Linked DNA regions of Cricetulus griseus. The protein of the gene in region 2 interacts with the protein of the main gene of each other region in a pairwise test. Links are inferred from orthologs where the notes say so. Each region holds a gene or a part of one and is shown on either strand. Other genes may lie near its edges.

Region 1 (6,125 bases), on a different chromosome or scaffold from region 2:
GTCTGACGTGGATGAGCAGAGAAGTAGCTGGAACCTCTGTGCCCCCACATCACCTCTACAGGCCCATAAGGTACTGCTCATCTGTCACCTGTCAAGGTGTCCATAGGCCCCAGGGGCTGCAGCCATTTGAACAAACAGATGCTGGGTTATCTGAGGCCTTTGAAAGACCTGTCCACTCCAAGGGTTACCTGAAATCCTGCCCTCGAGGCTCAAGATCAAACTTATTTGGGGTTTGGAGCTTAGTGCCCCCACTGGTCACAACACCCCAATCCTGGGAGTAAGCAACTTCTTTCTAGGATTTGTCATCTGGCTAGACAGACATTGCTGAACAGGTAAACAGCAATCCTTCACCTCACCAAAGATGATAGCACTGCCTACCCAACTGACCCTCCTCTACACTGAGGTCCCCGACCCAAGCCATGTTATCAATTGAGCCACTTTAAAAGGATCACAGCCTTGTGCTGTTTCACTTAAAAATGCCAAGAACAGCAGACTGCAGCATCCAGGAACCAGGCACTATCGGCATATCCCAGTCTCCGACACAGCAACTGACTCCCTAGGTGCCAGCCACATTCTGCTCATGGCCCTCTGGCCTCCTGATCTCACCTGCCTGTCCCCTTAAGGCTCCTGGTATCCTCTGGTACACCAGCTGGCTCCTTAGAACTCCAGTTCTAGCTCCTGAATCTTTGGCTACCTCCTTCACTGAAGAGCAGTCACCTGGCACTGGTCCCTGGCCAAAGCTTGAGAGACCCTTTCTCACAGCCGTCCCAGCTCCCACCTGTTCAGCATCTCCTAGAGGGAAGTCACACTGACATTCCCTCAACAACAGCTACGGGAAGAGAGAAAGAAAGAAGTAGGAAGGCTGGGAGGGAGCATGGTGGGAGCAGGGAACTCTTGGAGGGGGAGGAATCCAAGGATCAGGTCGCAGGGGATATCTGGGGCTAGGATGGGGAATGGTCCCGTCTGGGAAAAGACACAGAAAGAGGTGGTAGTGGGGGTCCAACACTGCTTGGCCACGCAGCCACAGAGGCCCTGCCCATACTTAGGAATGCCATACCCAGGCACCTGGTGCCCCTTTTGTCAGGCCACCCCAGTGTGTGCTCACCTGCTAACCCTCCATTCCCAGCCTCACTCAGCACTTAGCTACTTGCCTCCTGGAGCTGGGAAGCCAGGAGAGGACTTTCAGACACTTCCTGGCTACTCATTCATCTCTCTGGGATACTCTATCCCAAGCCCCTGTTCTGGCCCCAGTGGATCAGGGATTCTCAACAGAGAACTTCCCTACTCTCCCCTACACCTCTCAGTGCCCCTGCCTTCCTGATCCAGCCCCTCTATACTCCATGAGCAGCTGATAGATCAGGGGCACATCTGTCTGTCCTCTCAGCTCCTTAGCCCCATTTTGTAAGAATCAAACCCTCTCAGTGAGATCGGGGATGCTCCTAGGAAGGTGGATGGTGCAGAGAATGTCTCCCACCAAGACATTCTGGACCAGCCCAGAATAGCCACAGGACTTCTTAGATCAGGTGGATCCAGTTCACCTAGGCATCCATGTACCTGAGCAACCACAGTTCATGGCTCCCATGCCAGTACGCAAGCTTCCCTGGACACCCTGGGAAGGTGTCACGTGGGGACAGGGCATGCTTGGATTTCTTCCTTCTTAGTTCCAGTAACCACAGGTTTCTGAGCCTGATGTAGAGACATTTTTAATTTCTGCTTCACATCTACCCAGCCTATCAAAGCCAAAGATTGGAGGTCCAGGTCTGGCTGTGACCTCTAGGTGGAGACCAAATAACTCAGGGGCCTCCTGGAAGGCTCTGTGGGAAGGTTCTTGGCTGCTCAGCTTAAATCTGGTCCCAGCTCAACCCTCTGAGCTCAGCTTGGGTTTCAGCTTGGATGGGGGCCAGGTTGAGCTCAGGGCCTCAAGCAGTATCCCAAATACTGTCCCTAACCAGTGAGAGATACCCAGAGCCTGAATTCTGCCTAGTGAGTCACCACAGGGGAGAAATGGGAGCAACTGAACAGTTTGGAGACCTGCGCTCTGAATATTCTCCCTCCCTCCCTCCCTCCCTCTCTCCTTCTTACACACACACACACACACACACACACACACACACACACACACACACACACACACACACACGCTGCCTGGCAGACACCTCCTTCTCACAGGTGGCTGGTCCTGAGGTAAACGTGACTCTGCACAGCGTCTACTCCCAGGGGACTCTAGGAAGAAGCTGCCAGCAAACCTCTTACCCCTGCACCATAACCAGGAGGCAGAGTATAGGGCTCCGGCTTTATCTTCAACACCACACAATGGGGACACTGTCTTTGAGCTACAGCAGAGTAGAAGGGGGAAGGGCAAGGTCTCTTCACCAGCCACCAAACCCTCATTTTGATATTTGGGGGTACTGGACAGAGCTTGGCTAGCTGATAAGCCACCTCACTTGGGACATTTTTCTTCAAGGTTGGCCCTTAGCAGGGAGGCCCCATATTTGGGGAAGGCTTAGAAGAGGTGGGAATCAGAAGCTCACAGCAGAGATCTAGGCCTTCTTCTAGGGCTGGCGACAGACTGCAGACCCTGCCCAGCACTCAGGCCCTTCCAGCTCTGCCTGAGAGGCCATAGTGAACTGGCGGCACCGGGTCCACATCTGGAACCAGCACCTCATGGGGAACACTATCATTAGGCCGGAGTCACCAGGGAGGCATGCAACCAGAGGCAGGGCTATCCTGTCATCCCCAGTGGGCGTGGGCACAGAGCACAGACCGCTGGATCACCTGTGAACCTGCCTGGAAGGCAAGTGCCTTTGTAAGCAGGCACACACCCACCCGCCTGGCCCAGGCCCAGGTCCTGCTAGCCTGGGGCTGGGGATAGCTAATGAAGGCAGGGCCCCATCATGACAGCCTGGGTCGTGGCCATGCCACCCCAGCACCGGGTCATGGCAGTCTCAGGCTTGAGAGGAGAACTCCTGGCAACGAACCCTGCCATCCCTGGCTATACAGGGGCCCGCAGAGCTCGGTGGAGGAGTGCCCGCCTCGTAACCCCCTCTGGCACAGGGATGAGGTTGCTGGCAGAACCCAGCCCCCAGCCCCTCTGCCGCGGGGCCGCTCTTTGGGCCCCCGCGTCCCCACCGCTCCCTGCGCAGAGCTAGGGAGGCGCGTCCCCGGCCACGTTGCGCGCCACCGCCGCAGCCTTTGTTCTGGGCCGGCAGGCTCCCGCCCGCGCCCATCGCTCGGGTCCCCGTTTCCATCCCGGTCCTCGAACTACCTGGAGTAGAGGCGCCTGGCGGCCGGGCCCGGGAGCTCGTCGGCCGCGGGCGGGGCTGGGCTCGCCATGAGTCGGGGGACGCGCCGAGCAGGAGCACCGCCCCGCGCTGCGGCCGTCCGCCCGCCGATCTGCCCGCTTGTCCGCGCGTCCGTCCGCCTGTCCGCGCGTCCGCGCGAGGCGCCGAGGAAGTGATGTGCTGGGGTGCCACCGCCCCTCCCGCCCGAGCCGTGATGTCACCGCCGCCAGGCGGAGAGAGGGTGGGGAGGGGCAGGCGCCCACCGGCCACCACTGCGGCGGTCCCGCCTTCCGCGGGGTGGGCGGGGCCCTATCTTTGAGGTCCATGCAGGGAGCGTCCTCGTCTTAGTGAGGGCAATGCTGGGTGACCTTTTCTTTGGCGGAAGACCTGCTAAGCCCCTGGGGTGCCGCCATGCTATTCCCCCCTTTCACACACACACACACACACACACACACACACCACACACACACACACACACACACACACACCACACACACACACACACACACACACACACACACCACACACACACACACACACACACACACACACACACACACACACCTCAAGACACACACACACACACACACACACACACACACTCAAGACACTCTGGCTTGAGGTGTTGAAACCTTTTTGCCTTTGCTGTCACAGACACACACACACACATCCTGTAACCTCAGTGGCTTACAGGTCATGCTGATGCACCCAGGGCTAGGAAGAATACAGGTTTTCCTGGCTTGAGGGAGGGGGATGCATGCTGTGGGGCCCTGGGCAAGTCTCTGCCTTCTTAGGGCTTTCACCACCAGACTTCATGTTGGCAGTACCTGTGAATGCAACCATTTGGAAAGCATACTGGTAGAACACCAGAGGCCCACCTGGAAGCCTGGTACTCCTTCATCTGCCTATCTTCCTCTGAATTCCAAGTACCCTGAGGGTCTGGAGCCCTCAGTCATCTTTTTTCATCCATGCTTGAGTAGCCCTGGAGCCTTCACCCCAGCCAACTGCCAACCAGCCACAGGGCACCCACTGGACACACCAAAGGCCTCAGAACAGCCAGCCCAACTGAGATTCATCTAACTCTCTGCTCCCCTCTCAGCCCAGTCCCAATATTCTTGGAAAAGTAGCTGTGACCCTCAATGGTACAGGGATGAGTCAGGGTGCAGAAAATGGCTATGTCCTTGGCAGTTTTTCTTCATCCCTGGCACCAGGCCTGAAGATGGACACCATGCCAAGGTCACCCTAAACAGACCCTGTAGACTCAGCCCACAGTACAGTGGCTTTGGGCAAAGAAAAAGGGCAACAAAAACAAACATGAGATAAAACGGGTCTGTTGGCCCTGAGCTAGTTTGTTTTCCTAGGAAAGAAGGAGCAGGAGCAATGAGAACCATCTGTGCCTGGGGGGTGAGGAGGCTCAGGCTTGCTGCTGTCCCCACGCCTCCCACTAAGACCACAGGAGCCAGGCCTTGCTCTCACTTGGCTAAGGCAGGGTTGGTGTTGTGGCTGGCCAAGCACCACCCACATTTGCTGGTCTCCAGCCTCGTTGATAGCAGCCAGGGAGGGCTTTGGGCTGCAGGCACTTCTTGGTTGCCCCCAAAGGGCACCATATGCAAGTGGGGGCTGCTGTGGCACTCTCAGTATCAGGCTGGGCTTATCTCCTGGCTTTAGGAGGCCCTTAGAGACATACTGCAGCCATACAATCCCCTGTGGGTACCCAGCTTTGCCAGGGACCAAACCAAGAAGCCCCACTCATATGCCACAGGGTTCTGGAGATGACAGGATGTGTGAACCACAGCATTCTCGCTAAGGACAAATTTCCTTTTTCCTTGAGGCAGGGGTGGGGGATACAGGTTGTGAGGGCCCAGATTTGCAGGGATTCTCTGAAGCAGGCTCTGTGTCAGAAAGACCTGACCTTGAAGACTACCTCTGCCCCTACTGACCAGGAACAAGCTGCTTTCTCTAAATTTCAGTTCTGTCACCTGCAAAGAGACCAACCTGTCCCAGCCTGTGTAGTCCTTATGGTTCCTGGTATACAATGTGCACTTATGGCATCAGAAAACTGTTACAATTGTACTGGACTTGGGGAACTCCTGCAGTCACTTCTGGCATACACTCACCACACAGGCAGGGTAGCTTCTCCCATCAGGGACCTTTTCAGGTAGAATGTGATAAAGGTAAGCATGAAGTAATAGGCCTAACTTAGAGGACACTCATGGGAAAGGGCAAGATGGGCCTAGGGAGGAGGGACCCTTGGGGTATCAACACACGTCTCTGCCTGTCTCCTGCTAGCTCTGAATACCCCCTCCCATATCTGCTCAGTGTGAAAAAGAGCTCCATCCTCTCACCCCTGCCCCACCACTGTTCCCCTGCCTAGATGCAGCTAGGAACCTGGTTACCTCCACCTGTAAAGTCTCTGGAGCAGCTAAATGGAGAATTCGGCCTCATCCCTAATGGTTGTATTTCCTCCCTGTGGAACATTGGAGGGAAGAAAATGATTTCCCATTTGAGCATAGCCAATAGCTATCCTACTGGTGCTGGGCAAGGGTGGATGATGGGTGGCTTTGTCATCTCCCCATGTCAGGTGAGTGCCAAGGGGTTCATGTCAGCTCCAGTCACCATCATATACCAGATGACTTCCTGTGGTCACCTGATGGCCTGTGACATGCACAAGGTGGCAGTAGTGACTCATTCCAGGTCATCTGCCTGGGCTCTGGAGACACAAGGCAAAGCTTGGGTTTCTCAGGCCTAAACTTCACCTTGTCCTGGACCTGTCTCCTGGATCAGGAGTGGATTTGAATAACTCTGCAATGGGTGTCTAAACCCTGCCTTCCACCTGCTGCTTCC
Region 2 (5,523 bases):
CATGCACAAAACTTAAGTGCAAATGGATCAAAGATCTCAACATAAATCCAGCCACACTGAATCTTCTAGAAGAGAAAGTGGGAGATACCCTTGAACGAATTGGCACAGGAGACCACTTCCTGAACATTACACCAGTAGCACAGACATTGAGATCTTCAATTAATGAATGGGACCTTCTGAAACTGAGAAGCTTCTGTAAGGCAAAGGACACAGTCAGTAAGACAAAAAGACAGTCCACAGAATGGGAAAAGATCTTCACCAACCCCACATCTGACAGAGGGCTGATTTCCAAAATATACAAAGAACTCAAGAAGCTAGCCACCAAAACACCAAACAATGAAATTAAAAAGTGGGGTGCAGAACTAAATAGAGAATTCTCAACAGAGGAATCTGAAATGGCTGAAAGACACTTAAGAAAGTGCTCAAAATCCTTGGCCATCAGAGAAATGCAACTCAAAACAACTCTGAGATACCATCTTACTCCTGTCAGAATGGCTAAAATCAAAAACACCAATGACAATCTATGCTGGGGAGGATGTGGAGAAAAAGGAATACTCCTCTATTGCTGGTAGGAGTGCAAACTTGTAAGACCACTCTGGAAATCAGTATGGCGGTTGCTCAGAAAACTGGGAATCTTGAGGATAACCTCAAGATCCAGCAATTCCTCTCTTGGGTATGTATATACCCAAATAATGCACTTTATACAACGAGGACATTTGTTCAACCATGTTCATCGCAGCATTGTTTATAATAGCCAGAACCTGGAAACAACCTAGATGCCCCTCAACTGAAGAATGGATAGAGAAAATGTGGTACATTTACACAATGCAGTACTACTCAGCAGAAAAAAGCAATGGAATCTTGAAATTCTCAGGCAAATGGATAGAACTAGAAGAAACCATCCTGAGTGAGGTAACCCAGTCACAAAAAGACAGGCATTGTATGTACTCACTCATATATGAATTTTAGACATAGAGCAAAAGATTACCAGCCTACAATCCTCTTCACCAAAGAAACTATGAAACATGAAGGACTCTAAGGGATAATTGCATGGACCCCAGGAATGGGAAGGGGCAGGAACTCCTGAGCTAATTGGGAGCATGAGGGTAGGGGAGAGGGAGCTGCCAGAATGAGAGGAGGAGAGGAGAAAATGGAGGAGCAGAAATATTGAGTTGTGGGAAGAATAGAGGACAGCAGGATGAGAGATACCATATTAGAGGGAGCCATTTTAGGTCCAAGGAGAGATCTGGCACTAGGGATATTTCCAGAAACCTACAAGGATGACACAGACAATCCAGGCAATGGTGGAGCGGGTAACCTAAACGCTCTTCCCCTAAACTGAGATTGATGACTACTTTTTTATGCCATCCTAGAACTCTCATCCAGTGGCTGATGGAAGCAGAGGCAGACATCCACAGATATACACTGAACTGAACTCTGGAACTTAGTTGCAGAGAGGGAGGAATGAAGATCGAAGGGGTCGGGACCAGGCTGGTGAAACCCAAGAAACAGCTGGCCTGAACAAGGGGGAACACATCACCCAGATGCTGTCTGGGAGGCCAGTACAGGACTGATCCAGACCCCTGAACATGGATGTCAATAAGGAAGCCTCTGCACTCCAGGGAGCCCCTGGTGGTGGATTAGTATTTTTCCCTGGTGTAAGAAGGGACTTTGAGAGCCCATCCCTCGTGAAGGGATGCACTCTTGCCCTGGACACACGGGGAAGGGCCTGGCCCAGCCCAGGATGATGTGATGGACTTTGCAGAGCCCCCATTGAGGGTCCTACCCTGCCTGGGGAGTGGAGGGTGGATGGGGTTGGGGATAGGTCGGAGTGGGGTAGGAGGGGTGTGGGTGAGGGGAGGGAGAGGGAGAAGGGATTGACATGTGAAACAAGCTTGTTCCTAATTTTGACTAAAAAAAAAAAAAAGGAAAAAAGAAAAAAAGTGGTAAAGAGAAAGAAAAGTGGTAAAGAGAGAGAAGAAAGGAATAATTTACAATTCATTTAGACTCAGGTGTCTATTCCCAGGATCACTTGCCATAACCTGTAATTATTCCTATTCTCTGTTCACACTGCAGTGGGTACTTTTTCATATGCTGGGGACACACAGAGCCAGGACTAAGTGGGCCTGCACATGAGGTCTCTATCTTAGACTTCTCTTGCCTTACCCAGGCCCAAGCCTGGATACCACCCACATAATAGCTTTGTCCTCAAGTCTTCTGTAGTGAAGAGAGAGACAGGGAACCACTATGTGTGACACTATGTGTCACACAAAGGGAAGGAGATGTGGGGGGCGGGGGTGGATGTGATGGAGGGAGGGGTAGATGTGAGGGAGGGCCTTCGACTTGAGACGAGCTGGAGTATAGAGAAGTGTTAACATAGCAGGCCTGCTCCTGTCTGTCAGGTCTGCTCACAAGGCTGGTTCTTGGTTGGCATTTAGGGTCTCTGAAGCCTTAGGAAGTGGAACCTACTTGACGGAAATAGATTACTAGGGTTCGTGTTTGAAGGTCACACCTAGTCTATTCTGCTTGCCCATCTATATAGTGAGTTCCAGAACAGTCATGGTTACATAGTGAGACTCTCTCTCCAAAGAAAAAAGAGAAAAGATTTAGTATTACATGATTCATGTTTGAAATCCCAGCATTTGGCAGAAAGATCATTGCAAGCCTGAGGCCAGGTTGAGCCTCCATAATGGATTCCATAGGACCTGGCTTCCAAAAGAGGAGGGGGAGGAAGAAGGAAGAAGAGGGATGAAGAAGAAGAAGGAAAAAGAAAGAAGGTAGGAGGAGGAAGAGGAGAAGCAAAGAAAAAGAAGGAAGAAGGGAGGAAGAAGGTGGCAACAAAAAATACAAAGATGAATAAGGTGTGTGCCTTGCTTTATGAAGTCACCCATGCAGTCGGGAGACTCAATATTTAAACTCACAGTGTAACACAGAAGTGACAGGTACACAGTTGGGTGGGATAACAGAAGTAGGAAAGAAACTAATTCTTTATATAGCCTAATAAAGTTGTGTTTTTGTTTGCCTGTGTTTTTGTTTCCATAGACACTAAGAGTCAGTGAACAGTCCAATGTTATATAGTTATTATGAGGTGATGGGGGCCAAACTTTGCTCTATGAAGACTACCTCACACTGTGGGCTTGGGGAACATTCAGAGAGAGGGTTCCTTGCTATTTTCCTTTTGTACCCACAATCCTGAACCATTTTGGAGCCACACATTCCTTTTAGAGAGTGGCAGTAGGGATCTTTTCTCAAAGACTTATGATAGCAACTCAGATACTTCCTATTCTAGGAGCCCCATAAACATCAAGAATAATTCCAATTTTTCTCAATATATTAATAGGTTATTGTTGCTTGGAGAACAGAAAATTTGCATGCTAATCCACCCAAACCCCACTCAGACCTTAAACTCCTGCAGTTCCAGCTTCCGGTCATTAATCTCTTTCTCCAGCTGAGCCTTTTCCACCTGCATGGCACCAGCGGTTCGTCCATGCTGGCCAACCAGCTGTGTCATGTTCTCGATCTGCTGCCGCAAGATCTCAATGACCTTGTCCTTTTCTGCCATCTGGAGTTTGAGTGCCTCACACTCCGTCTGCACATTTCTTAGGTGGTCCCCCTCATTCTTGAGATGTTGAAGCTCCTGTAACTTCAAGTCCACCCGTGAGCGGAGCTTAGTGATCTCTGCATTGGTGGCCTCAATGGCTCGTTCTTTCTCCTGGAGGGAAGCTGTCAGGTCAGAAACCGTCCTCTCAGAGCTCTCAAGGGTCATCTTCTTGGCCGTCAACTCTTCCACCACCTTGCGCAGCATCTCCTTGGTGGACTCAAGCTGGGCAGTGAGGGAGGACACTTTCTCCAGGCTCTCATTCTTCCCCTGAATGGCTGCCATCTGTGGTAAAGAAAGTTTTACAACTGGGGGTTTAGGGGGAGGGGAGGGGATGGGCAAGTTAACTCAAAGTGTGAAACCCTGAACTGGATAGTCCAAATAGACTAATTTAAATCATTGTGCCATCAGAACATTAGGGCACAAAGGACATTTTCCCCCATGGAAGACACCTGCCACCCGGCAATGGCACAGCTTGCGTACTTTCCCTCACCTGTCGCTCCATCTGGCCCTGACACTCGCTCTTCATGGCCTTGAGCAGGGCCTCCAGCCGCTGCACCTCCATGTTCCTGTCATCCAGCTCCCGACGAAGGTGGTCGATGGTGATGCTGTTGCCAGTGTCGCGGTCCCACAGGCGCTTGTTCTGCTCCTTCTCCAGACTCAGCTCCTTCTCCCTCTTGTGGAGATCTGCCTAAAAGAAGTGAGGAGCGCTGTTCCTCCCATACACTGTCACACAGCCAAAACAAATCCTTCTATTTGCCTTACATGGTCTTGCTGTTTTTTAATTTGAGAAGTCTTTGGTTAGGGGAAATAAATGCTTTTCAACAGCTGACTAAAATGATTGTTTCCTAGAAAGATACACTAACATTTTGCTTAAACATCTTGGTTTAGGAGTGGCACCTCACACCTGTAATCTCTGCACATGGAAAGTGCATCACTTGTGTTTTGAATGTCATTTTGCTTCCAAATGAACATACCACAACTTGAATTTAGTAGATGGCAGTTCTAATTGAAAGATTATGGCTACTTGAAGACCTTATCTAACATGTAACAGCCACAACTAAGGAAAAAGACACAGATGTCTTATATAAACCACTTGAAGTCCGTAGAATGATATCCGGTGTATATGCACACTATTCAGTAAAACCTGTAATTGTATAATGTGAACTGGCTTGTGTAATGTGCTGAACATCTTCCCTAACCCAAATCTCACACTCTAGAGCAGGAGCTCACCAACAGCTTTTGGAGTTGGTCATCCAGATTCCCTGACTCCTGACTGAACTGGTCCCGCTCTGTGCGCGCCTCGGTGAGTTCTGAATTGGCAAGGACTAGCTGCTTCTCCAGCTCTTCTATCTGGAAGAAAAGCCCAAATCAAACAAATGTAGCCCAGGTTGGTGGTGCCAGAATACAAAGCCTATGAGAGCAGATGATGAGCAGTAGAGGCAAAGCTCATGGGTCATACGTTTACAGTTTTCTAACCTTAACATTTCTGTAGGGTTTAGCACGGGCATCAGTCACAGTGGAGCCCTCGTTACTGTTACTTCTGTCACCGCACACTGTGCTTTGTGTTTTCTCTTCAGAAGTTATCTTCTGGAGAGAGATGCTCTATAATTATGGGAATCTTCTGGTGGCATAAACAATGCACTGTAGACCCCAAACAAATGAACTTCACAATACTGAGATGAGATAGCTTGTTTTAGAATATCTGTCTCAGATGGGCATAGCGATGCACACCTTTAATCCCAGCATTGGTCAGCAGAGGCAGGTGGATCTGTGAGCTTGGGGCCAGCCAGCCTGGTCTACATGGAAGTTCTAGGACAGCCAAGGCTAAACAGTGAGACCATGTCTTGAAAAATCCAAACAAACACCGCCCCCCCCCCCGGCCAAAAAACATCAAAGCCTCAATAAAATACTGAATACAGAAG

Evidence for each region.
Region 1: the proteins of Ccdc158 (region 2) and Gpsm1 interact in a two-hybrid assay, tested with the Homo sapiens proteins (2 studies listed by BioGRID and IntAct). The link is inferred for Cricetulus griseus from reciprocal best matches to the Homo sapiens genes CCDC158 and GPSM1.

Annotation. Positions count from the first base shown.
Region 1 is NC_048599.1:137,705,223-137,711,347, reverse strand, and holds the start of Gpsm1 (G-protein-signaling modulator 1), read right to left. Parts: upstream 3,457-6,125; 5' UTR 3,334-3,456; coding exon 3,266-3,333; intron 1-3,265. UniProt on the Homo sapiens protein: Guanine nucleotide dissociation inhibitor (GDI) which functions as a receptor-independent activator of heterotrimeric G-protein signaling.
Region 2 is NW_023276807.1:157,389,070-157,394,592, forward strand, and holds part of Ccdc158 (coiled-coil domain-containing protein 158), read right to left. Parts: intron 4,952-5,523; coding exon 4,832-4,951; intron 4,290-4,831; coding exon 4,092-4,289; intron 3,884-4,091; coding exon 3,401-3,883; intron 1-3,400.